Linked DNA regions of Macaca mulatta. The protein of the gene in region 2 interacts with the protein of the main gene of each other region in a biochemical or structural test. Links are inferred from orthologs where the notes say so. Each region holds a gene or a part of one and is shown on either strand. Other genes may lie near its edges. The genes, in order: SPN, MSN, ICAM3 and LRRK2.

Region 1 (6,446 bases), on a different chromosome or scaffold from region 2:
CCCACTAAGCAAGCGCCTTCCTGCCGCCTCCCTCCCTCTCCTCTCCCACTGCACGAGCCCATCTCCCACCTGATCCTTTCCCCATCTCCTGCTCAGGCCACAGAGCAAGGCTGTCACGCTCACATGCTTCCCCTGTCTTTGTTTGCAGGTCAACCTGTCTGCTCTCAGCCACTGCAACCTCTAACTCAACAACTTCCTCTTTGAAAATTCCCTCTTTGCCCTCAGGAAATACCAACTGCCCTGGCCCATGTGTGCTCCCAGGCTGTAGGCTGCGCTGGTCTCAAAGGCAGCACCATTGGGTCCTCTCCTCTCCACCCAGGCCTCACAGGGGAAGTCCCTGGCTCTGGGCCCGCCCGCTTCACTCACTCTCACTGGTTCCTCTTGGAGGATAGAAGGGGCTCAGCCCCTGGGATGGAAGAGGAGAGATAGACAAACTAAACCTGAAAATGTGCAGGGGGGAAGCGCCAGCAAGGCCAGTCCCCACGACCAGGGCAGACCCCTCGCCCCCTGCCTCTGTTCGCGCGTGCACGTGTATGTGTGTAGGTGTGTGGGGGTGTGTGTGTGTGTGTGACAGAGAGAGAGAGAGTGAGCACCTGCATGTGTACTGTAGAAAGGGAGAGTTCAAGGAAGGGATTACCGTGGTTGAGCTGAAGAACTCACATTTGGGTCACACATACAATCTTTCTAGGAAGCCTGGCTTCCTTTTTGTTTTCTTTTTTGAGACAGGGTCTCGCTCTGTTGCCCAGGCTGGAGTGCAGTGGTGCAATCACAGCTCACTTCAGACTCGAACTCCTGGGCTCAAGCGATCCTCCTGACTCAGCTTTCCAAAGTGCTGGGATTAAAAGCACCAGCCACTGTGGTCACCCTGGCGTGCTGTATGGGGCTATAGACAGAGTTAGATTTTCTGCTTTGTCTACCCCATCAGAGCAAAGATGACACACATGTTCTCAGCAGTCCTTGTGCCCCCATGCTCAGGTTGACCCGTTTCAGTCTCTGCACCACTTCCCACTCCCACACTGTCTGTACCCGCCACTACCCCTCCCAAGCATCGCCAAATCCTCAGCTCTTGCACACAAACCACACCCATGAGTGGACGCACGCAGGCACTGGGGTTTCTGAGAACTACACACCCAGACAGAAACTCAGAGGAGAAACCGCGAAGCCTCTGGCTGCCTCTGTCCCTGGGTGGGGAGAGTGTGGTGGCATGGGCCAGGGCCAGCCTCGAGTCCAGGTGCCCTGGGAAAGATCACAGGCCTGCCTGAGAGCATGGGCCAGTGGCCCCACCCAGCCATGCTCCTGGCTGGCCTGGGGGACCCAGAGCTAAAGGTGGTTGCGGGCTGCCCAGGTTCCACAGCCCTTGCAGCTACGGGGCAAGGGTGCTTTACAAAGTTAATCCTAGGAGGGAGTTTGCCATGTTCTCTTGTCCTTCTTCTTCCCAGACTCTGGTCAACCCAGAGTGGGGTGTGGGGGAAAAGGAGAATTCTCAAAGAAATCACAGGTCAGATAAATTTGGCTGATGGAGACTCAGCAGCCGTTTCCAAGAACAAGAAAGAGGGGGAAATCCTGATGGAGATAAATAGGGGTGGATGAAGAGGGTTTATTAATTCAGTCCACAGACGTTGAGAGGTGCCGGCCTTGCCCTGCCCAGGTGCTGGTTGCAGGTGCTGGGTGAGGATGCCAGCAGGAAATCCAGGGCTGAGAGGCCTGATGAGGATTCAGAGTGAAGAGGCGGGTGAGGAGGTAAGGCACGGTGGCTCACGTCTGTAATCCCAGCACTTTGGGAGGCCGAGGCAGGTGGATCACCTGAGGTCAGGAGTTTGAGACCATCCTGGCCAACATGGTGAAACCCCGTCTCTACCAAAAATACAAAAAAGCAGCTGGGCGTGGTGGTGGGCGCCTGTAATCTCAGTTACTCGGGAGGCTGAGGCAGGAGAATCTCTTGAACTTAGGAGGCAGATGTTGCAGTGAGCTGAGATCATGCCATGGCACTCCAGCCTGGGCAACAAAGTGAAACTCTGCCTCAAAAAAAAAAAAAAAAAAAAGAGAGAGAGAGAGAGATTCAGGTGAGGATCAGGATGCCAGGTGGAAATGTGGGAGTGAGGGGGCAGTGTGATGGTGAGAGGGAAGGTGCTGGAGGCTGGCTGAGATTCCGGCCTCCAGCCTTACTATTCGCCAGCACTTAAGGGGCAGCCCTGTCTCCCGCTTCAGGCTCATCAGGAGCGGGGGCATCCAGAGCCCCATCCTCGCTGGCCACCAGCGGCTCCTCCTCCCCTTTGAGGTTGGAGCCTGACCCAGACTTCAGCTCCTCCATTGCCAGGGAGCCCTGGCGAGACTTCCGTCTGCCAAAGAAAGTGGTGAGCGTGGGCCGCCGGCCAGACCCCTCCCCGTCAGGGACCCCAGAGCCCTTGTCGCCCCCGGACCCTCCCACGGTCACTGTCACGGCCCCCTCCTCAGGGACCTGGGCTGGCCCAGCCCAGGCGTCCACCACCCCGTTACGCTTGCCGCCTCTGCTCAACACCAGGGCCCCTGTCCGCCGTTTCTGCCGCCGGCGCCACAGCAGGAGCAGAGCCACGAGGACTATGACCACCAGCAGGGCCACAAGCACGGCCACTGGCAGCATGCCTCCTGAGTTCTCATCTGGGTTCCGAAAGGGCACAGTGCTTGCATTGGTGGAGGTCGTTGGAGTCATCATCGTGGATAGTTTTACACTAGAGACCTGGGGTCCACTGGCCCCACTGGAGGGCTCCAGAGAGCCAGTTGTCATGGTAACAGAGGGTCCAGTGTTCACATTGGAGGGCTCCAGAGAGCCAGTTGTCATGGTAACAGGGGGTCCAGTGGTCCCAGTGGAGGTCTCCAGAGAGCCAGCTGCTATGGTAACAGGGGGTCCAGTGGTCCCAGTGGAGGTCTCCAGAGAGCCAGCTGCTATGGTAACAGGGGGTCCAGAGGTGCCATTGGAGGTCTCCAGAGAGATAGTTGCCATGGTAAGAGGGGGTCCAGAGGTGCCTTTGGAGGTCTCCTGAGAGCTAGCTGCCACGGTAACAGGGGCTCCACTGGTCCTACTGGAGGTTTCTGGAGAGTTCGTTGTCATGGTTCCACCTGTCATGGTGTGGGATCCTAGAGAGTTTGCTGTTATGGGAACAGCAGGATGACTGGTTGCATGAGGGTTTTCCTGGGGCATTGATGACATCTCGAAGGAAACATTCTGTAAGGTTGTTGGCTCAGGTAAGGGGGAACCAGTGCTGGCACCAAGGGAAGTCCCAAGAGGGGATCCCTCATTGACAGAAGTTGAGGGAGGTAGGGCTGAGGTCTGGTCCCCAGTGCCGTCGGCCTTAGGGTCACTTGTTATTGAAGCGGTGTACATCTCTGAGTCGATGCTCAGGTATTTGCTAGTAGAGACCAAAGGACCAGAAGTCTCTCCGGGCACGGGTGTCTGCACAGCTGTCGTGTCCCCCAGAGCCTCTGGACTTACCACAAGCACCCCAAGGAGGAGGAGAAGCACGGCCATTTCCAGGCAAACAGGCAGGAGCTGGGACCTGCAGGTGGGCAGCCGGAGAAGCAGAACACGCGGGAGTTGCCGGAGGATCTGGCCGGGCCTCCCCTCTGCCCACTTCCCTACCAACGGCCAGGCCCAACCTGCGGTTTAACGGTTTTTTCCATCCTGGCTTTTACTGTTATCAGAAATGACAGAGGAACAGATGCTGGCAGCTCCCCCATCAGCCCCATCCCAAGGCTCCCTCCAGCCTCGGCAGCTCAGATTCCAGCAGTGGCCACCCTCTCCTGGCCTTCCCTGACCCTGTGCAGCCCAGTGGCTCCAAATCTCTTCCCATCATCACCTGTCAGAGTCTTTTCAAGCCACAGGCACATTTCCAGGCCCACTGAGGCCCCTACCCCACCAAGTCTCACCCTCTTACCGGCTCAGCTGATAAGGACGCAGCGCTGGGGCCAGGTCACTCCACCACCTCCCGAGGCTGGGGCAAGACTGGGGAGGACAGGGCCCCAAGGGGAAAGGAAGTGGGCCCTGGCTCCACCCACCCCACCCACCCCTCCATCCTGCCCCACCCGCCCTGCTCCCACAGCTGCTGGGCGAAGACAGCACCATGACCTGCTCCTTCAGGGGCCAGTGGGGTGTCTGGGGGTCTGGGGCTCACCTGAGGCAGGCAGGGAAGTGCGGGATCTGGAATCTGGATTACTGGCTCTTGGCTGAGGAATGGGATGGAAGGGGTGATGCTAGGGATGGCTGGACTCAGAGGTGGGTGGTGGGAATATGAGCCTGAGAACTCAAGGGTGTAGAGGAGGAGGTGGGAGGGGAGGGTGGTTTCCTTTGCATTTGTGGTCCCCAAGCTGTTAGGCCAGGAGCTGAGTGGTGCCATTTCCTGCTCTCAGAGCTCCCAGGAAGTAGCAGGGCAAGAGGAAGCCCCCGAGTCTGGCTGGGGGCCGTGAAAACCTTTGCAAGCTGGTGAGCTCTTGACTCCCTCACGGGGAGCTGGGGGTCACCCCAGTGGCCCCTAGTCAGGGAGGCTTGGCTAAACCAAGGTGGTTCCTACACACTGCATATGCTCGGATCTTATTTCAGCAAACTAGTAAAGATATGGGAATCTTTTTATTTTTTATTTTATTTTATTTTATTTATTTATTTATTTTGAAGTGGAGTTTAGTGCAATGGCATGATCTTGGCTCACCGCAACCTCTGCCTCCCAGGTTCAAGCAATTCTCCTGCCTCAGCCTCCCGAGTAGCTGGGATTACAGGCATGCGCCACTGTGCCCAGCTAATTTTGTATTTTTAGTAGAGACGGGGTTTCTCCATGTTGGTCAGGCTGGTCTGGAACTCCTGACCTCAGGTGATCCACCCACCTCAGCCTCCCAAAGCGCTGGGATTACAGGCGTGAGCCACCGCGCCCGGCCAGATGTGGGACTCTATATGGAAAAGTGTCTGGAAAGATATCCACTAAGGGATTCACCTAATTGTCTTTGGATAGGTGAGAGTAGGAGGCCGAGGCATTTTCTTCTTTGAATGGTTCCCATTTCCTGACTTTCCTCTAATTAGCAAGCTTTGACTCTTGGTTTGTGTATGTCTTTGGTTTTTGTTCTTTAAAAACGAAAATCAGTCCCGGGCGTGGTGATACATTATGCCTGTAGTCCCACCGAGGCGGAAGGATCCCCTAAGCCCAGGAGTTTGAAACCAGCCTGGGCACCACAGCAGAAACCCTGTCACTAAAAATAAAATGCATAAGTTTTTAAAATCAAAACTGATTTGTATATTTTAAGAGCAACATGTGCACAATAGAAGATTCTAACAGGTCCTTGGGACTGTGCCCTTTCCACAAGCTGATGAGTTTGTCTGACCCAAAGACATGAGACTCCAGGGTGAGAGCCGCAGGAATTAATTGCTCACACCAAGCAACAGCAGCGTGATGTTTGCGTCAGTTCCCCTTACCCCAAGTCCCACAGAGGCAACATGGAAGGACCCAAACTGACACCGCGCACATAGTGGGCCTATATCGCAGCCACAGAGCTCTGAGCTTGAGAGATTCCCCTCCTCTAGGGCCCCTGGTAAGCCCAGTGTCCCACAGGGAGACACGTCTTCATCCCTCAGGGGTGCTCACTGCAAACACAGCACTGGGAAATGGCTTGAGTCCAAAGTGTTCAGAGGCTAGGTGAGGTGGCTCACGCCTGTAATCCCAGGACTTTGGGAGGCTGAGGCAGGCTGATCACTTGAGGTCAGGAGTTCGAGACCAGCCTGGCCAACATGCTGTCTTTTCTGCACACAGTGGCTCGGAATGGTAACGGGGTGCCCATTCTGCAGAGGGGATGAGGGACGCAGGAGCAAAGGAGGGTAGGTTAGAGGGCTGCATCATCAGGCCCAACGGACTTCCTGTCCTACCACCACCATCTTCCAGCTGCATGACCTTGAACAAGTCACACAACTTCTCCAATGCCCTAGGACCACCACCTTCTTCATCAAGTGACTGCAAGGATTAAATGAGATAATGTCAAGTGCACAGAAAAGCGGTTACCAGCACAGGACTCTGGGTTCCTGTCCTACCTCTTACACTTGGGCAAAGGACTTAACCTCCTTATCCCTCTGTTGCTTTGTATAAAATGGGGATAATTATGGTAATACCACATAGTTTGTTCTGATGATTAAGAGTTAATACATATAAACGACTGGGCACGGTGGCCCATGCCTGTAAGCCCAGCACTTTGGGAGGCTGAGGCAGGTGGATCACCTGAGGTCAGGAGTTCGAGACCGGCTTGGTCAACATGGTGAAACCCCGTCTCTACTAAAAATACAAAAATTAGCTGGGCATGGTGGCGGGCACCTATAATCCCGGCTACTCGGGAGGCTGAGGCAGGAGAATCGTTTCAACCCAGGAGGCAGAGGTTGCAGTGAGCAGAGACTATGCCACTGCACTCCAGCCTGAGCAACAGAGTGAGACTCCATCTCA
Region 2 (5,920 bases):
CTAAGAATGTGTAAGAGGCTGTCACAATGAATGAGAGAAAGAAAATTGCTTCTGTGGCAGCCAACATGCCAGAGGCCAGCAAGGGTCAACCCATCTTTATTCCCTTTGGGAGCATAGACCCTAGGTTTTTGTTAGGAGATTTTGCTTTGCAAAAGTCATGCTATGCTCTGTTCTCCATCATCTGGTTGCCTTTTGTGCCCTTTCCCACTCCTGATAGCAAGATACTTGTCAGAAGTACAGAGTAAGCAGGCTTTCTCTCTCCTTGGGTCTGACTCACAAGCCCCACTTTGTGACCCCCAACTGTGTCATTTAGGGAGGATGCTGTCCTGGAATATCTGAAGATTGCTCAAGATCTGGAGATGTATGGTGTGAACTACTTCAGCATCAAGAACAAGAAAGGCTCAGAGCTGTGGCTGGGGGTGGATGCACTGGGTCTCAACATCTATGAGCAGAATGACAGGTATATCTCAGATCTCTTTTAGTTTATTTAGGTTATGTTAACATCTAGGGCTCACTTTTCACCAAGGAGCAAGGCCATAGCTCTTGGGTCCCACCTCAGTTCTTTTTCTGCCTAATTTAGTCCAGCCCAGATGATTTCACAACTTTCCTTAGGCCTCTAAATTCTGTATTGACTAGACTCACACTGTCAACTGTGGTAGCCACCAGCCACATGGGGCTATTGAACACTTGAAATGTGGCTACTTTGAATTGAGATGTGCTGTAAGTGTAAACTACACACTGGACTTTGAAGATTAGTGTGAAAAACAGAATGCAAAAATGTCTTAATATTTTTAAAAATATTTATTTACATGTTCAAATGATAATATTTTAGATATATTGGGCTAATTAAACTTATTAAAATTTTATTACATCCATTTCTTTTTACTTATTTTCATGTAGCTACTAGAAAACTTAAAATTATATATGTGACAGTCATTATGTTTTTATTGATTTGTGCAGGCCTAGACTGTCTTATCGGGATATATTTTGATTAGTCTCCTGTGATAATTAAATGGCTTTTGGCCTATAATCCTCTCACTGTAGCCTTATCTCACTTGCTTATATTTTTCACTTGGTGTGCTCTTGGTGAGAATGGAGATCAATAGATTATTGTTCCATATAACTGCTGAATCTTGGAGTTCATTATTTACGTTTTCTCTAACTTTTGTAAGCTTGGATAGAAGAAACTCAGTTAAATAGGGCTGGGGATTCCCTTGAGGAATTGTTACAAGTTCCATGCCTCAAACAAAAACATAACAAAACAAACTCGAGACAAGGAATCATATGTTAGTTGTAGTATCAGGAGATCCTTTAGTGAACTCAATGCTGGCAACTGACCTGGTGGCATGTGATGACACTGGCTGAGCTGGCACCGAGTCTACCTCCTCCAGAGAGAAGTGTTTGTTTGGCCAAGCTTGGTGGCTCATGCCTGTAATCCCAGCACTTTGGGAGGCTGAGGAGGGAGGATCGCTCGAGCCCAAGAGTTCAAGACCAGACTGGGTAACATAGTGAGACCTCGTCTCTATTTATTTAAAAAAAAAAAAAAAGAGAGAGAGAGAGAGAGAGACATAGAAGCTTGGGGGTGATGTGAGGGCAAGCCACCAGTTCTCTACGCCCTTCTTGTCTTGCCCTTGTCCTGATATTATTGGTTTCCATTTCTACAGACTAACTCCCAAGATAGGCTTCCCCTGGAGTGAAATCAGGAACATCTCTTTCAATGATAAGAAATTTGTCATCAAGCCCATTGACAAAAAAGCCCCGGTGAGTGATTCCTCCCTCTGACCAAGACGGGTACTTGCCAAGGCCTTCTATAATGAGCAATCATGCTATTCTATTTTTCTCTTCCTTTGCTGGTTTGTGTGTGTGTGTATGTGTGCGTGTGTGTGTGCGCGTGCATGTGTGTGCACACATGCACGAACAGGAAGCACAGATAGAGATTGGGAATGGAGGGAGATGTTGATGCCAAAAATGGCCAGCAGACATCCTGTACCTGATTCTACTCTGCTACCTGTCTCCCTCACTGTGGATGAGGGAGAGCCACAGGCAGTGTTAAGTACTGCTTCTTAGCCGTTGTCTCTGCCGCCCTGAGATTCTGGGGTGGAAACCAAATGCATCTCGTATTTCCAAGCCCCTGGGGTCCCGAAAAGTGGACACTGTTCACATATTTGATTCCTTTCTTTTCTTTTCTTTTCTTTTTTCTTTTCTCTTCTCTTCTCTTCTCTTTTCTTTTCCCCTCCCCTCCCCTCCTCTCCCTCCCTTCCCCTTCCCTTCCCTTCCTTCCTTTTTTGACAGAGTCTCGCTCTGTCGCCCAGGCTGGAGTGCAGTGGCACAATCTTGGCTTACTACAACCTCAGCCTCCCGAGTAGCTGGGATTACAGGTGCATGGCACCGTGCCCGGCTAATTTTTGTAGTTTTAGTAGAGACAAGGCTTCGCCATGTTGGCCAGGCTGGTCTTGAACTCCTGACCTCAGGTGATTTGCCTGCCTTGGCCTCCCAAAGTGCTGGGATTACAGGTGTGAGTCACCATGCCCAGCCCTTGATTTCTTTTTTTTATTATGGAGAAATGGCTGTGACCAGAGAAGTACAAATCCCAAGATGATCCTACAAACTTCTTGGTAGAACTTGACTGCTGCCCTCTCAGACTTTTCTCCAGAGCATTCCAAGACCAAAAAAGTGCTTTAACTTCACTCATTTCTCTAACACACTCGCCACACTTCTTACCCACTCAGTAGCCTGCAGCTAACAAGACCAGACAGCTGGTGATTGTGGTAGGGTAGGAAACTGAGCTGAGTATCTCCTTTTCTGGGATACCTCATGTTCAACAAGGCCCAGTGACAATACTGCGCCTGACCCTTTTCATGAAGGCTCAACCATTCTTCTCCAGCCCTGAGGTGTCTGAACTTTCCCTGCTAGGGACTTTACACGTTGTCTCCTTAAACCCTCAGCAACATGGTCAGGTAGGTAGTAAGTAGCATACTAATTTTATGGTTGACAAAACTGAGGTTAGAGAGATGGAGTGATTTGTTCAAGATAACACAGCTAAAAATGGTAGAACTGGGATTTGTACCTAGGTGATTTGACTTTGAGAGCCTGTGCTCCCTCCACTGCACCCCAAGCTATATGAGACAGTAGCAGTGTGTGGTCAGTGGCAGAGGAGATGGCGGTTAGCCCGTCAGCTGGTGACTTTGGTCCAGTGGTATTTGTAGTAGCAAACTCAAACTCACTGGATTTTCTTGTGTGTTTTCTTTTATTGCTACTGTGCTCAACTTTTATCAGAAAAAGTTGAGTAACAAAGCCAGCTGAGATCAAGGGCTCATTTTAAAAACAACAACCAGGACAAGCAGTGATCAGGAGATTTATGTATTTATATATGTATTTACAGCCTGCCTTGTTCCAAAAAGGATTTAAGGGGCTGGCTCTAGGATTTGCTTTCAGGAGATTGTAGAAACAGTCCAGTCACCCATACTGCACCCACCAGCGTATTGTCAGGGGTCATTTGGCTTCCAAAAGAGGTCACCTGAGACCTAGCATGTTCCCTAATTAGCAGAGAAAGTTTGAATCCTTCAACTTGATTAAGAGTAATTTAGGATGCTTTCATAAGCAAAGATTGAAAGAAATTGTGGGAAGAACACGGGTTTCAGAGTCAAGAAACCTAGGTTTCTAGTCTTTGGTCTGCCTGCTGTCTGACCCTGGGTAAGTCACTTTACCACTCTGATAATTGGTCTTCCCATCTGTAGTGCAGGAGGTTAGATTAAACATTCTTTTCAGTGCTTTTGGATTTAGCTTTTCAGAAGGCAGAAGATCACCTTCACCTGGCCCTCCGAATTCTTTCTGATTGCTGATTTCCCACCAGGACTTCGTCTTCTATGCTCCCCGGCTGCGGATTAACAAGCGTATCTTGGCCTTGTGCATGGGGAACCATGAACTATACATGCGCCGTCGCAAGCCTGACACCATTGAGGTGCAGCAGATGAAAGCACAGGCCCGGGAGGAGAAGCACCAGAAGCAGATGGAGCGGTAGGTGCTGCACACTGATGTGGGGGGCCAGGGCTGGGGCAAGGAAGCTTCTCAAAGGTACCCAGCCTGCTAAGTCAGGACATGAGGCCAACCTAGGACTTCATAGATAAGAGGTTAGACACCAATGTTCACATTTATTCAGAAAACATTTACCAAGTTTGAGGGGCAGTTTTTACAGAGCTGGATCTAGCAGGAACCTGCCCTGTAGGACCTCACAGTCTACTCAGTCTAGTAGCAGAGAGAGGGAAAACAATATATACATAACTCAAGGTACAAACGCCATGCCATTCATTCACTTAATAAATATTTATTGAGCAATGAATAAGAAAAGACCAAAAATCTCTGCTTTTGTGAAGCTAGCATTCTAGTGGGGAGGAGACAAACATAATAAATAAGCAAATTATGTGGTACATAAGATGGTTAAGAATTGCTATGGAGAAAAAAACATAGAAGAGGGGTGGGGAGAAGGGTAAGCCAAGTATTCTGAGGGCTCAGATGGAGAATACCTAGCCAAGGGAGATAAGAAGGTTCCTGGAAGAGGTGCTAGGGCAAGAAAAAGCAAATACCTATTCCAGATTTGTAACAAACTCTGGGAAAAAGAAGCCTAGAGCTGGGCTTTAGGGCAGACAGATTTGGACCTGAGGACTGATGCACTAGCCATAGAGATTACTGGACTTGAAGCACTTCATCCCAGCAGAGAGCCAAAACTTGTCTCCCTACAAGGTATATAGGGCAGGTCTTATTGGACCATTTTCAAGATAGGGGAACAAGAGCAAAGCAGTGACATAGCTAAGGTCACCCAGTGGGTTGGTGGGAGAGCTAGGATTCCTGACTCAGGGGCACATTGACAGGGCCCCGTGTACACTGGCCTATGTGGGGCTGTGATATGAGGACAAAGGTATAGAGGTAAGGGAGGGTGGCCCAAACTCACAATCCCTGAGTGTGTTGAGAAGGTTGGGTTGAGAGACCCAGAGGCAGCAAGCCTTGCAATTCCCCAGGCTTTTTTTTTTTTTTTTTTTGAAAATGGAGTCTTGTTCTGTTGTCCACGCTGGAGTGCAGTGGTGCAATCTCAGCTCACTGCAACCTCCGCCTCCCAGGTTCAAGCGATTCTCCTGCCTCAGCCTCCCGAATAGCTAGGGCTACGGCCGCATGCCACTACGCCCAGCTAATTTTTTGTATTTTTAGTAAAGACAGGGTTTCATCGTGTTTGCCAGGATGGTCTCGATTTCCTGACCTCATGATCTGCCCGCCTCGGCCTCCCAAAGTGCTGGGATTATAGGCGTGAGCCACCATGCCTGGCCTCCCCAGGCTTTTATGGAGCTTTACTATCCTGTTCTATCCATTTTATCTCCTTCCCTAGTGCTATGCTGGAAAATGAGAAGAAGAAGCGTGAAATGGCAGAAAAAGAGAAAGAGAAGATTGAACGGGAGAAGGAGGAGCTGATGGAGAGGCTGAAGCAGATTGAGGAACAGACTAAGAAGGCTCAGCAAGGTGAGGCTTGGAGTCACCTTGGAGATTGGGTTTTTCCAGACCTGACTCTGAGCTGGAGAACCTTCTTCCTGAGCTGTACACACAGACAATATAGTTCAGGTGTGGCTACAGACTAGAAAAAGAATGGGCAAGAAGAGAACTCAGAACTTTCTGCCAGCTTTGTCCTGGGGTGGATCATTTCCAGGAAGGAAGCTAGTGTGTCATCTTTATCTCTGTGCTCTTCACTGCCTTCTCCCCTCCTTTTATGCCCAGAACTGGAAGAACAGACCCGTAGGGCTCTGGAACTTGAGCAGGAACGGAAGCGTGCCCAGAGCGAGGCTGAAAAGCTTGCCAAGGAGCGTCAAGAAGCTGAAGAGGCCAAGGAGGCCTTGCTGCAGGCCTCCCGGGACCAGAAAAAGACTCAGGAACAGCT
Region 3 (6,696 bases), on a different chromosome or scaffold from region 2:
AGCTAGGTGACTCACGCCTGTAATCCCACCACTTTGGGAGGCCGAGGGAGGCGGATCACTTGAGGTCAGGAGTTTGAGACCAACCTGGCCAACTTGGCAAAACCCTGTCTCTACTAAAAATCAATACAAAAATTAGCCAGGCGTGGTGGCACATGCCTGTGATCCCAATTACTAAGGAGGCTAAGACAGGAGAATCACTTGAACCCAGGAGGCAGAGTTTGCAGTGAGCTGACATCGCGCCATTGCACTCCAGCCTGGGGGACAAGAGCAAGACTCCGTCTCAAAGGATAAAAAAAATAAAATCAAAAAGTAGGCCAGGCATGGTGGCTCACGCTTGTAATCCCAGCACTTTGGGAGGCCAAGGCACTTGAGGCCAGGAGTTTGAGACCAGCCTGGGCAACATGGTGAAATCCCGTCTCTACTAAAAATAAAAAAATTAGCTGGGCGTGGTGGTGCACACCCGTAGTCCCAGCTACTCAGCAGGCTGAGGCAGGAAAATCTCTTGAACTTGGGAGGTGGAGGTTGCAGTGAGCTGAGATCGTGCCACTGCACTCCAGCCTGGGCAACAGAGTGAGACTCCATCTCCAAAAAAAAAAAAAAAAGAAGAAGAAGAAAAGGCCAGGCATGGTGGCTCACGCCTGTAATCCCAGCACTTTGGGAGGTCGAGGCAGGTGGATCATGAGGTCAGAAGTTCGAGACCAGCTTGACCAACATGTTGAAACCTTGTCTCTACTAAAAATACAAAAATGAGCCGGGCATGTTGGCATGTGCCTATAATCGCAGCTACTCAGGAGGCTGAGGCAGGAGAATCGCTTGAACCCGGGAGGCAGAGGTTGCAGTGAGCCACGATTGCACCACTGCACTCCAGCCTAGGGGACAGAGCAAGACTCCGTCTCAAAAAAAAAAAAAGAAAAAGAAAAAAAAAAAGTAGCCAGGTACAGTGGCTCAGGCCTGCAATCCCAGCTACTGGAGAGCTGAAGAGGATTGCATGAGCCCAGGAGTTTGAGACCAACCTGGGCAATATAGGGAGAGCCTGTCTCTAAAATAAAAGTATAAAAAAGTGTAAATATAAAACCTCTATTCACCTACTGCTGACTGAAAGGGGTACCCCCTTTTTTTTGCTTAAGAGACAGGGTCTTACTTTTTCGCGCAGGCTGGAGTGCAGTGGTGCAATTATAGCTCACTATAGCCTTGAACTCCTGGGCTCAAGCAACTCTCCCACCTCGGCCCCCCAAGTAGCTGAGACTTCGGGCATGTACCACCATGCCCAGCTAATTTTTTTTTTTTTTTTTTTTGAGACGGAGTCTCACTCTGTCGCCCAGGCTGGAGTGCAGTGGCGCAATCTCCACTCACTGCAAGCTCCATCGCCTCCCGGGTTAATGCCATTTTCCTGCCTCAGCCTCCCTAGAAGCTGGGACTACAGGTGCCCACCACCACACCCGGCTACTTTTTTTGTATTTTCAATAGAGATGGGGTTTCACGGTGTTTGCCAGGATGGTCTCGATCTTCTGACCTCGTGGTCCGCCCACCTCGGCCTCCCAAAGTGCTGGGATTACAGGTGTGAGCCACCACGCCCGGCCCCAGCTAATATTTTTTATTTATTTTTGTAGAGACAAGGTGTCCCTATGTTGCTCAGCCTGGTCTTAAATTTCTGGGCTCAAGCAATCTTCCTGCCTTGGCCTCCCAAAGTGTTGAAATTATTGTTGGGGTCAGGCAAGGTGGCTCACACCTGTAATCCCAGCATTTCGAGAGGCCAAGGTGGACAGATCACAAGGTCAGGAGTTAAAGACCAGCCTGGCTAACATGGTGAAACCCCATCTCTACAAAAAATACAAAAATTAGCTGGGCATGCTGGCGCATGCCTATAATCCCAGCTACTTGGGAGGCTGAGGCAGGAGAATGCTTGAACTGGGACCTGGGAGGCAGAGGTCGTGGTGAGCCAAGATGGCACCGCTGCACTCCAGTCTGGGCTACAGAGCAACAGACTTCATCTCAAAAAAAAAAAAAAAAACTTGTTGGGGCAGGGTGCAGTGGCTCATGCCTGTAATCCCAGCACTTCGGGAGACCAAAGCAGGCGGATTACCTGAGGTGAGGAGTTCAAGACCAGACTGGCCAACATGATGAAATGCCATCTCAGGCGGGCGCAGTGGCTCAAGCCTGTAATCCCCGCACTTTGGGAGGCCAAGATGGGCGGATCACGAGGTCAGGAGATCGAGACCATCCTGGCTAACACGTTGAAACCCCGTCTCTACTAAAAAAAATACAAAAAAACTAGCCGGGCGAGGTGGCGGGCGCCTGTAGTCCCAGCTACTCGGGAGGCTGAGGCAGGAGAATGGCATAAGCCCGGGAGGCGGAGCTTGCAGTGAGCTGAGATCCGGCCACTGCACTCCAGCCTGGGCTGGACAGAGCCAGACTCCGTCTCAAAAAAAAAAGAAAAAGAAATGCCATCTCTACTAAAAATACAAAATTACCCGGGTGTGGTGGCGTGCATGTGTAATCCCAGCCACTCGGGAGGCCGAGGCAGGAGAATCACTTGAACCCAGGAGGCGAAGGTTGCAGTGAGCCGAGATTGCGCCACTGCACTCCAGCCTGGGCAAAAAGAGCGAAACTCTGTCTCAAAAAAAAAAAAAAAAAAAAAATGTTGGTTGGGGCCCAAGTTAATTGATTTCACAACTGCTGCCTTGGCATGAGATTGAGATGTGTCTCTATGTCTTTGTATCTCACACACACAAATGTCCAGGTCTGAGCTCTGGGTCAGAATCCTGGTCCATTCTTTGCAAACTGAGGGTCTCCATTCTCCTGAGCCATCGGCCATCTGCCCACACCACTACCCAACACCAGTCCCACCTCCGGACACATCGACTCACTGTACACGGTGATGTCAGAGAAGCCTGTTATCTGGGAGCCATTGCAGTACCCTGAACAGAGGATCCGACTGTTGCCAGTCACGTTGCTGAGCTGGAAGGCTGCCCAGCCTGTGCCATTGTCCACCAGCTCCTTTGATAGGGACGTCTCCAAGATGATTTTCTTAGAGCTGGGGCAATCAGTACTGCAGTTCACCAACAGGGACCCTCCAGCAGGAAACACAGGGTTCTGGGGCTCCACCCGCAGCAGGAACTCCTGCCCCTGGGCACCTTCAGGAACATGAAGAAATCCTGGTGTTTGTTTTGTTGCCCCCCAACCCGCGTATCAGCAGGCCCCACCATTTAACACCTCTTTCCTTGTGCCGAGATAGAAGGGTTCCCACCCTCATGGTCCAGTGGGAAAGGCAGAATCCATCAGGGACCAGGGAGAACTCAGAAGGAGGCCAGAAGAGGCTCTGATCCAGCATAGGAGGAGGTGAGTCAGGGAAGGCTTCCTGGAGGAGGAGACCATGCCAGCCTGAAACTGAAAGCTAAGTAAGAGTTAGCAAGTGAAAGGGACAGGTGATCCTGGCAGAGGGAACCACATACGCAAAGGGCAAATTTCAGGAGTTCAGGCCGGGCGCGGTGGCTCAAGCCTGTAATCCCAGCACTTTGGGAGGCCGAGACGGGCGGATCATGAGGTCAGGAGATCGAGACCATCCTGGCTAACACAGTGAAACCCCGTCTCTACTAAAATACAAAAAAAAACTAGCCGGGCGAGGTGGCGGGCGCCTGTAGTCCCAGCTACTCGGGAGGCTGAGGCAGGAGAATGGCGTGAACCCGGGAGGCGGAGCTTGCAGTGAGCTGAGATCCGGCCACTGCACTCCAGCCTGGGCGACAGAGCGAGACTCCGTCTCAAAAAAAAAAAAAAAAAAAAAAAAAAAAAAAAAAATTTCAGGAGTTCAGATGGAGCAGGAAGCGTGAGGGGTGTGTGTGTGTGTGTGTGTGTGTGTTGGGGAAGAGGGATGGCGTAGAAGCCGTATGCTGGGGCCTGACCACCTGAAGGCAGAACTAAGGAACCAGAACTTTCTCCCGAGGATACGGGGTCAGCAGCCAGGTCGCAGTGTGGCAGGATGCAAAGAGTGTTGCATTCTCTTCCTCCACCTTCTACTGAGCCCCAAAACCCAGCCCTCTCCAGCCCTCCTGGGCTTGACCAGCCTCACCTGGGGTCAGCAGACAGCAGACCAGCAGAGTCCAGCAGGCCCCGGGCCACGATACGGATGGTACTATGGTGGCCATTCTGACAGAAGAAGGTGCCTTCCTGAGGTGCCCCAAGGGCAGGCAGGGGGAAAGGCGGGGCCTCCCACTGAGACGGAAGCATAGCGGTTAAGATTGCAGAAGTCTGGGGACTGCACCTTACCCAGGCCTGTGGGGAGAAGGGGATGCTGTGGCCCTGGGGGGCTAGAATGGGGGACCCAGACGGGGCTCTGCAAAGTGGCCAGCACTGCTGAGTCTCCCCCAGGGACAGGGCTGGTCTCAGTTGCACTGCTGGCCCCCAGTTCCTAGCCAGGAAATGCTAACTGAACTGGCTTCCTTTGTTCTCAGCACTGGGAAGCCTGGGTGTGGGGGTATGAGGCATCTCCTTCCGGCTGAACTTAGGTGGGGAGGGGAATATTCTGTTCCCAGAGAGGAAGTTAATGGGGGAAACCTGTAGGCACCACTGTTTAGATGCTAAGGTGGGATTTCAAGGAAACATAAAACAAACAAACAAACAAACAAAAAAACCAGAAGCAGAGTCTTGCTATGTTGCCCCGACTGGTCTTGAGCTCCTGGCCTTGAGATGGCCTCCTCCCATCCTGACCTCCCAAAGTGTTGCGGTTACAGGCGTGAGCCACAACGCCTGGCCACCTTTGAAGATCTTGAGGACATCTCCCTATCTTTGAAGATTTTGGGGATCCCCCCTCCCATGCACGAAGAGCTAAGGTAGGTGATTTGGGGACAGCTGAGTCCCTGAGCCACTGTCTTTCCAGGATTCGATTTGGCTTTTGTTTTGTTTTGAGACAGGGTCTCACTCTGTTGCCCAGGCTGGAGTGCAGTAGTGGGATCTCGGCTCACTGCAGCCTCTGCCTCCCTGGTTCAAACAATTCTCCTGCCTCAGCCTCCCGAGTAGCTGGGATTACAGGCATGTGCCATCATGCCCGGCTAATTTTTGTACTTTTTGGTAAGAGATGGGGTTTCACCATGTTGGCCAAGCTGGTCTCAAACTTCTGACCTCAAGTGAGTCGCCTGCCTTGGCCTCCCAAAGTGCTGGGATTACAGGCATAAGCCACCTCGCCCAACCTTCCAGGATTCTACTTGTAACTGGCCTTTACCTCATCCTGTTGCCCCCTTGCCCACCTTTCCAGGCAGCTGGTCACTTCATTCCAAGGGAAGGCACCAAGGGGACCAGGGGGGACTCCCACCTTTGACCTGCTGCTGACCTCAGGCCTCTGACCTGTCTTCTGGGCCTAACATCTGAGCACCAGAGAGGGACCTTGTTGAGGGCCTTGATGGAGCCCTGCGTTCACCCACTTTTCCCAGAGCTTGAGGTCACAGCACCTCCTCTCTCATCTGGAGCACCCCCACCTTCCTAATCAGGTCCCTCCTCTATTCCTCTGCCTTCCGAACAATTCATTTCCCACCTAGTGTTGAGAGAGCAGCTAAAACCCAAGTCTAGTGTATTTGTAAATAGCAGGGCCCAGTAGCATGGACCTGGTGCCTGTAGTCCCAGCTCCTTGGAAGGCTGAGGAGAGGATCGCTTGAGCCTGGGAGATCAAAGCTGCAGTGAGCTGAGATTGTGCCCCTGCACTCCAGCCTAGGCGACACAGTGAGACCCTGTTTCCAAAAAAAATAATAATAAAATAAAATAAAAAAGATGCCAGACTTAGTGGCTCAAGTCTGTAATCCCAGCAGAACTTTGGGAGGCTGAGGTGGGCAGATCAAGAGGTCAGGAAATCGAGACCGTCCTGGCTAACACAGTGAAACCCCGTTTCCACCAAAAATATAAAAAATTAGCTGGACGTTGTGGCGGGCGCCTGTAGTCCCAGCAACTCGGGAGGCTGAAGCAGAAGAATCACTTGAACCCGGGAGGCAGAGGTTGTAGTGAGCGGAGATTGTGCCGCTGCACTACAGCCTGGGTGACAGAGCAAGACTCCGTCTCAAAAATACATACATACATATATATATATATATATATATATATATATATATATATAAAATATATATTATATATTATAGATATGATTTATAATAATTATGTAATAGTGAGACCCCGTTTCTAAAAATAAAAAAGAAAGAAATATTTGTAAATAAGTAATATTTCTTTTTTGTTTTTTGAAACAGAGTCTCACTGTGTCACCCAGGCTGGAGTGCAGGGGCGCAATCTCAGCTAACTGTAATCTCAGCCTCCTGAGTTCAAGCGATCCTCCCACCTCAGCCTCCCTAGGATCTGGGACCACAGGTGCACACCACCATGCCTGGCTAATTTTTTGTAGAGACGGCTTTCATCATATTGCCCAGGTTGGTCTTGAACTCCTAAGCTTAGGGGATCTGCCTGCCTTGACCTCCCAAAGTGCTGGGATTATCAGTGTACCCTTCTACACCCTCCAGTAATATTTCTGATGATGAAGTATTTCTGGGCCAGGAGTGGTGTCTCACACCTGTAATCCTAGCACTTTGGGAGGTCAAGATGGGTGGATCCCTTGAGGTCGGGAGTTCCAGACCAGCCTGGGCAGCATGCCAAAACCCTGTCTCTACTAAAAATACAAAAAATCAGCCAAGCTTGATGGCACACACCTGTAGTCCCAGCTACTCA
Region 4 (5,070 bases), on a different chromosome or scaffold from region 2:
TGTTTTACTGAAACTTTGTCTTTTTTTGCTTCTATTTTTCTATTTAAATATGATGAAATCGTGATAGCACATAAAATATATTTTCTGCATAAATATATTTGTGTCTTCCTTTGATAATAATTTGATTTAGAAAATAACAATAAAAGCACATATACAAAAGTTTACAAAAACAACACTATGGGGTTTAATTCCGGAAAAAACTAGAATTTATGTAACTTTAGCAAATAATTAATGAATGTTTTGAACGTGGTGAAGAAAATAGATTCATTACAAGTATGTGTGAAAGAGGAACATGTGTTTCTCTAGCACCTTCACCTATTTTTCATTTATAGACGTTAGAGTTGCACAGAAGGAGTTAGAATTAGATGCTCTTAATGACTGTGAACTATTAAGATACATGTCCACACAAGCAGAACAGTAGGTATCTCAATGGGTTGTCTCCGTAGTCTTATTCTACCAAAGTTGTTGCATTCTCTAGTTGAATTGTATGTACTTTGGGACCCGGATAGCTTGCTTATAACTGAAGTTATAGTGGAATTTCAATGGGTTACAGTTTGATTTTAAAATAAAGATCAATTTGAACATAGCCTACAAGGTGCTGCGTGAGCTGGCTTCACTGTACCTCTCCTGCCTCCATCATCTACCACATTCCTACCAGATCTTCCTCGTCTAGATGAACATCCAGTTCTTCTTAATTACTGTGCTATATTTTGCCTCAGGGATTTGCACATGCTGTTTATTTCTTTGCTTAAAGTAATTTTGTTATGCTTAGTTAACTCATACGCTTTGAAATGTTAGCTCCTGTGTCAAAACCTCTGAGAAGCAAACACTGATTAGGTCAAAGTTCCCACTTTGGGTTCCCATAACAGCTTTCTTGCATAGTTGTGATCATAGTCATATATATTTTTTTTCATTAATACTAGTCTCTTCACTAGAATATAAACACCAAGCAGGTTGGGTTAGTGTGTTTTGGTTTACCCCTTTATTCCCAGGATCTAGCCTAGGACTTACATAGAAGACTTTTGATGCAAATTTGTTGAATAAATTAGTGAATGATTTGAGAAGAAAATATGATATTTTGACATCAGTATATCCATCCATCTAAGTGTCCATCTAAATACTCATATTTGTACCTTACCATATCCAAAGAACTTTTCACACACATTACCTCATTTAACATTGTAACTTTGGGGAGGGTAATGTATAAATACTAAGCCTATTTTATAGAAAGGTTAAGCTGTTTTCTCTCACATAATTAAGAGTTGCAGCAAGGAGTGGATCACAGATTCTGTTACTTTTTTTTAATGCTGGCCTTTATTCAATATAATTTAAGGGTCACCTAGAAAATAGAACTGTGAATTCAGTTCCAAGGTATTTGTGTCTTAGACTATGAACAACTTTAATTTTTTTCAGACCAGCTTAATATATAGTTTTAACGGAAAACTTCCATATTTTGTTTTTGTAAAGGGAGCCTTAAAAATGTCATGCTGGTATTGGGCTATAACCGGAAAAGTACTGAAGGTACACAACAGCAGAAAGGTAACATTTAAAAGGATACTGTATTCCAAACAGTGCAATGACATGAATGATAGTAACATATTATGTGTTTTATAAATTTGTAGAAAATATTACATATGGTATAATCAGGAATTTTAATTGGTAGTTTATAGTATAAAGAACTTAGGCATAAACTTTCAAAATTACAAGTGATATGAAGTGTTAAATATTTATATTTTCAGATGAAGTAGAGGTGTCAATCACTAGCTCAACCTTAAACTAAATGTGAATATTTTTTACAACTTACCTGTATCTACATAATGTTTAATTTTCAACAGTGTTTGAAAAGCTTTATTTCTTTTAGATTATGAAATGTTAATTTATTAAATGTCCACACTCTTCTTGAAATTTAGTAGTTTCTATAATGTATTATAAAAATTGTCCAAGTACAGTTTTTTATAAATAATTATTTAGTGCATTAGTTATAGCTGTGTTTATATATACATTTATCTAAGTCAACTAAAAATACATAAGCCAAACTGAAATAAAATAAGAATGTTTTATGGTGGATCTTTGAAACTTGATTTCATCTTTTTCTTTTTCTAGAGATACAATCTTGCTTGACTGTTTGGGACATCAATCTTCCACATGAAGTGCAAAATTTAGAAAAACACATTGAAGTGAGAAAAGAATTAGCTGAAAAAATGAGAGGAACATCTATTGAATAAGAGAGAAACAGGAATTGTCTTTGGATAGGAAAATTATTCTCTTGTAAATATTTATTTAAAAATGTTCACATGAAAAGGGTACTCACATTTTTTGAAATAGCTCATGTGTATATGAAGGAATGTTATATTTTTAATTTAAATATATGTAAAAATACTTACCAGTAAACATATATTTTAAAGAACTATTTAAAACACAATGTTGTATTTCTTATGAATACCAGTTACTTTTGTGCATTAATTAATGAAAATAAATCTGTGAAATACCTAATTTAAGTACTCATACTAAAATTTATAAGGCCGATAATTTTTTGTTTTCTTGTCTGTAATGAAGATAAACTTTATTTTAAATTCTATGCTTAAGACAAGACTATTGCTTGTTGATTTTTCTAGAAATCTGCAAGGTAGAATGAAAATATTAAGACAGTTTCCCGTGTAATGTATTCCCTCTTAGATTGCTTTGAAATGCACTATCATATATGCTTGCAAATATTCAAATGAATTTGCACTAATAAATTCCTTTGTTGGTATGTGAATTCTCTTTGTTGCTGTTGCAGACAGTGCATGTTACACAACTTCACTCAATCCAAAAGAAAACTCCATTAAAAGTACTAATGAAAAAACATGACATACTGTCAAAGTCCTCATATCTAGGATATGAGGAGAGTTTCTGTGTCTTTCTGTGTCTTTCCTAGACATGATAGAGTTGTCTCTATCTTTTCAACTCTATCTTTGAGTATGGATACCCTGAATTTTGTATAATTAGTGTAAATACAGTGTTCAGTCCTTCAAGTGATATTTTTATTTTTTTATTCATACCATTAGCTACTTGTTTTCTAATCTGCTTCATCCTAATGCTTATATTCATCTTTTCCCTAAATTTGTGATGCTGCAGATCCTACATCATTCAGATAGAAACTTTTTTTTTTCAGAATTATAGAATTCCACAGCTCCTACCAAGACCATGAGGACAAATATCTAACACTTTTCAGTTGCTGAAGGAGAAAAGAGCTTTAGTTATGATGGATAAAAATATCTGCCACCCTAGGCTTCCAAATTATACTTAAATTGTTTACATAGCTTACCACAGTAGGAGTATCAGGGCCAAATACCTATGTAATAATTTGAGGTCATTTCTGCTTTAGGAAAAGTACTTTTGGTAAATTCTTTGGCCCTGACCAGTATTCATTATTTCAGACAATTCCCTGTGATAGGACAACTAGTCTATTTAATATTCTCAGAACTTATGGCATTTGACTATATGAAAACTTTAAATTTATTTATATTCAGGGTGATCAAATTCTTAAACATGAAAGATTTTCTGTATTTTAACTTGCTACGTAATTAACGACAACAAAAAAAAATACAGTAGAGCTCTTTGTTCCAGTGTTATCTCTTTCATTGTCACTTTGTATGTATTTGCAAATTTTTTTACCAAAGACAAACACAAAAATAGAATACTGTATTTACATGGAATAATAAAATTTTTAAAAGCATGTTTATGAATTTTTAAACTTTGTGATAGTGTTTTGCTTTTCACATACAGGTCTGTTATCCACCTCAAAGGAAACTTTGTATATTAATTTGTATATGGAACATTCCACGATAAGAAAGTGCAACTAAAGTTTTTTCTTGAGAACTTACAGAATATTTAAATTTACTTTTCTATAATACGTATGGTTGCCAGGATCCCAGGACAAAATCTGATGGGTATGAAACATTCTATTTTCAAGTTCTCTTAAAAATGTTTTGTGAGTAAATTTGTTTGCTCTTGAGTACTGAAACAAAATATAAGACTTTAGAGCAAATGATATATACAAAAAATAGGCACAGTCACTTCAAGTGTTTTCTGATTAGAAGCCTAAAATAACCTGCTAATTATGATCAAAATACAAACATTATCATAACAGAAAATATTCTTTTGGGAAAATTTTGAATTCAAAAAAGGGCGCCTCTCTGACTCTAATTCACTCTATCGATTATGTGTGAACTATTTTAACTAAAATGCAACTTATTTTTCATCAAGGCAGTGAAATATATTGATGAAACATAGCAGAATTAACAAAAGAAGATTGTGAACTTTCCTAAGTTAAATGTAAGGATGCAAATGTTCTAATATTGAGGGGAGATAAAATTCAAAACCGTTGGGACTTTGCTGCTTTATCCATCACTTTGAGTAGCTTAACACCTAACCTGGTAAATTGAATGTTTTTCATGGAGGCTCATCAGCAATTCAGTAAAATAGTAAACTATGTCAACTCGGGAGAAACTGACATCCTCGTTCTCCATGCTAGCCAGTTGCTGATCCAGGGTATCATTGTTTCTAATAACAATTCAGAATCTGGCTGCTTAAAGGCACCTAGGTACTTGGTTCTTTCTAATTTGTCAAGGAATTTGGAGTGATCCTATCACCCTGATTTCAAGCAAGAGACAGTCACCTGACCCAAAGGCCTGCTGTCTGAACACACTCTGAGTGAGTGAGCAGAGATGTGGTGGTTCTCTCTATGTGCTGCCGCCACACTGCTCTTGATTTCTACCCTTACCTGGGAAGTCTCTACTTGATGTCTGTCTCAGGCTAAGAAAAAGAGAAGAGAAAGGGAATGAGTATTAGCATCTGGATCATGGGGCTGCTTCTTGGCCTCTATGAGAATCCACTGTTTCACAGCAATCAGGGCCTACAAAACTGGATGTTATAGAGTAAACAAGAGGTATCATTCTGACCTGGGCTTCGCCACATTTACCCACTGAACACTCCCAAGAGAAGGTTGTTACCATTTATTTATGAAAATACCAAACTCCGATACATACTCTATTGGAAGTATTTATGGAAAAATAGAGCATATGTCTA

The links.
Region 1: the proteins of MSN (region 2) and SPN form a complex in vitro, tested with the Homo sapiens proteins (2 studies listed by BioGRID). The link is inferred for Macaca mulatta from reciprocal best matches to the Homo sapiens genes MSN and SPN.
Region 3: the proteins of MSN (region 2) and ICAM3 form a complex in vitro, tested with the Homo sapiens proteins (2 studies listed by BioGRID). The link is inferred for Macaca mulatta from reciprocal best matches to the Homo sapiens genes MSN and ICAM3.
Region 4: of the proteins of MSN (region 2) and LRRK2, one has a biochemical effect on the other in vitro, tested with the Homo sapiens proteins (9 studies listed by IntAct). The link is inferred for Macaca mulatta from reciprocal best matches to the Homo sapiens genes MSN and LRRK2.

Annotation. Positions count from the first base shown.
Region 1 is NC_133425.1:28,908,985-28,915,430, forward strand, and holds SPN (leukosialin), read right to left. Parts: upstream 3,982-6,446; 5' UTR 3,912-3,981; intron 3,534-3,911; 5' UTR 3,506-3,533; coding exon 2,180-3,505; 3' UTR 1,580-2,179; downstream 1-1,579. UniProt on the Homo sapiens protein: Predominant cell surface sialoprotein of leukocytes which regulates multiple T-cell functions, including T-cell activation, proliferation, differentiation, trafficking and migration.
Region 2 is NC_133426.1:71,834,081-71,840,000, forward strand, and holds part of MSN (moesin), read left to right. Parts: intron 1-313; coding exon 314-460; intron 461-1,664; coding exon 1,665-1,761; intron 1,762-3,853; coding exon 3,854-4,017; intron 4,018-5,377; coding exon 5,378-5,508; intron 5,509-5,760; coding exon 5,761-5,920. UniProt on the Homo sapiens protein: Ezrin-radixin-moesin (ERM) family protein that connects the actin cytoskeleton to the plasma membrane and thereby regulates the structure and function of specific domains of the cell cortex.
Region 3 is NC_133424.1:11,061,041-11,067,736, forward strand, and holds the start of ICAM3 (intercellular adhesion molecule 3), read right to left. Parts: upstream 4,204-6,696; 5' UTR 4,143-4,203; coding exon 4,067-4,142; exon of another isoform or gene 3,810-4,066; intron 3,479-3,809; exon of another isoform or gene 3,135-3,478; coding exon 2,868-3,134; exon of another isoform or gene 2,668-2,867; intron 1-2,667. UniProt on the Homo sapiens protein: ICAM proteins are ligands for the leukocyte adhesion protein LFA-1 (integrin alpha-L/beta-2). ICAM3 is also a ligand for integrin alpha-D/beta-2. In association with integrin alpha-L/beta-2, contributes to apoptotic neutrophil phagocytosis by macrophages.
Region 4 is NC_133416.1:47,245,774-47,250,843, forward strand, and holds the end of LRRK2 (leucine-rich repeat serine/threonine-protein kinase 2), read left to right. Parts: intron 1-1,471; coding exon 1,472-1,539; intron 1,540-2,103; coding exon 2,104-2,225; 3' UTR 2,226-3,736; downstream 3,737-5,070. UniProt on the Homo sapiens protein: Serine/threonine-protein kinase which phosphorylates a broad range of proteins involved in multiple processes such as neuronal plasticity, innate immunity, autophagy, and vesicle trafficking.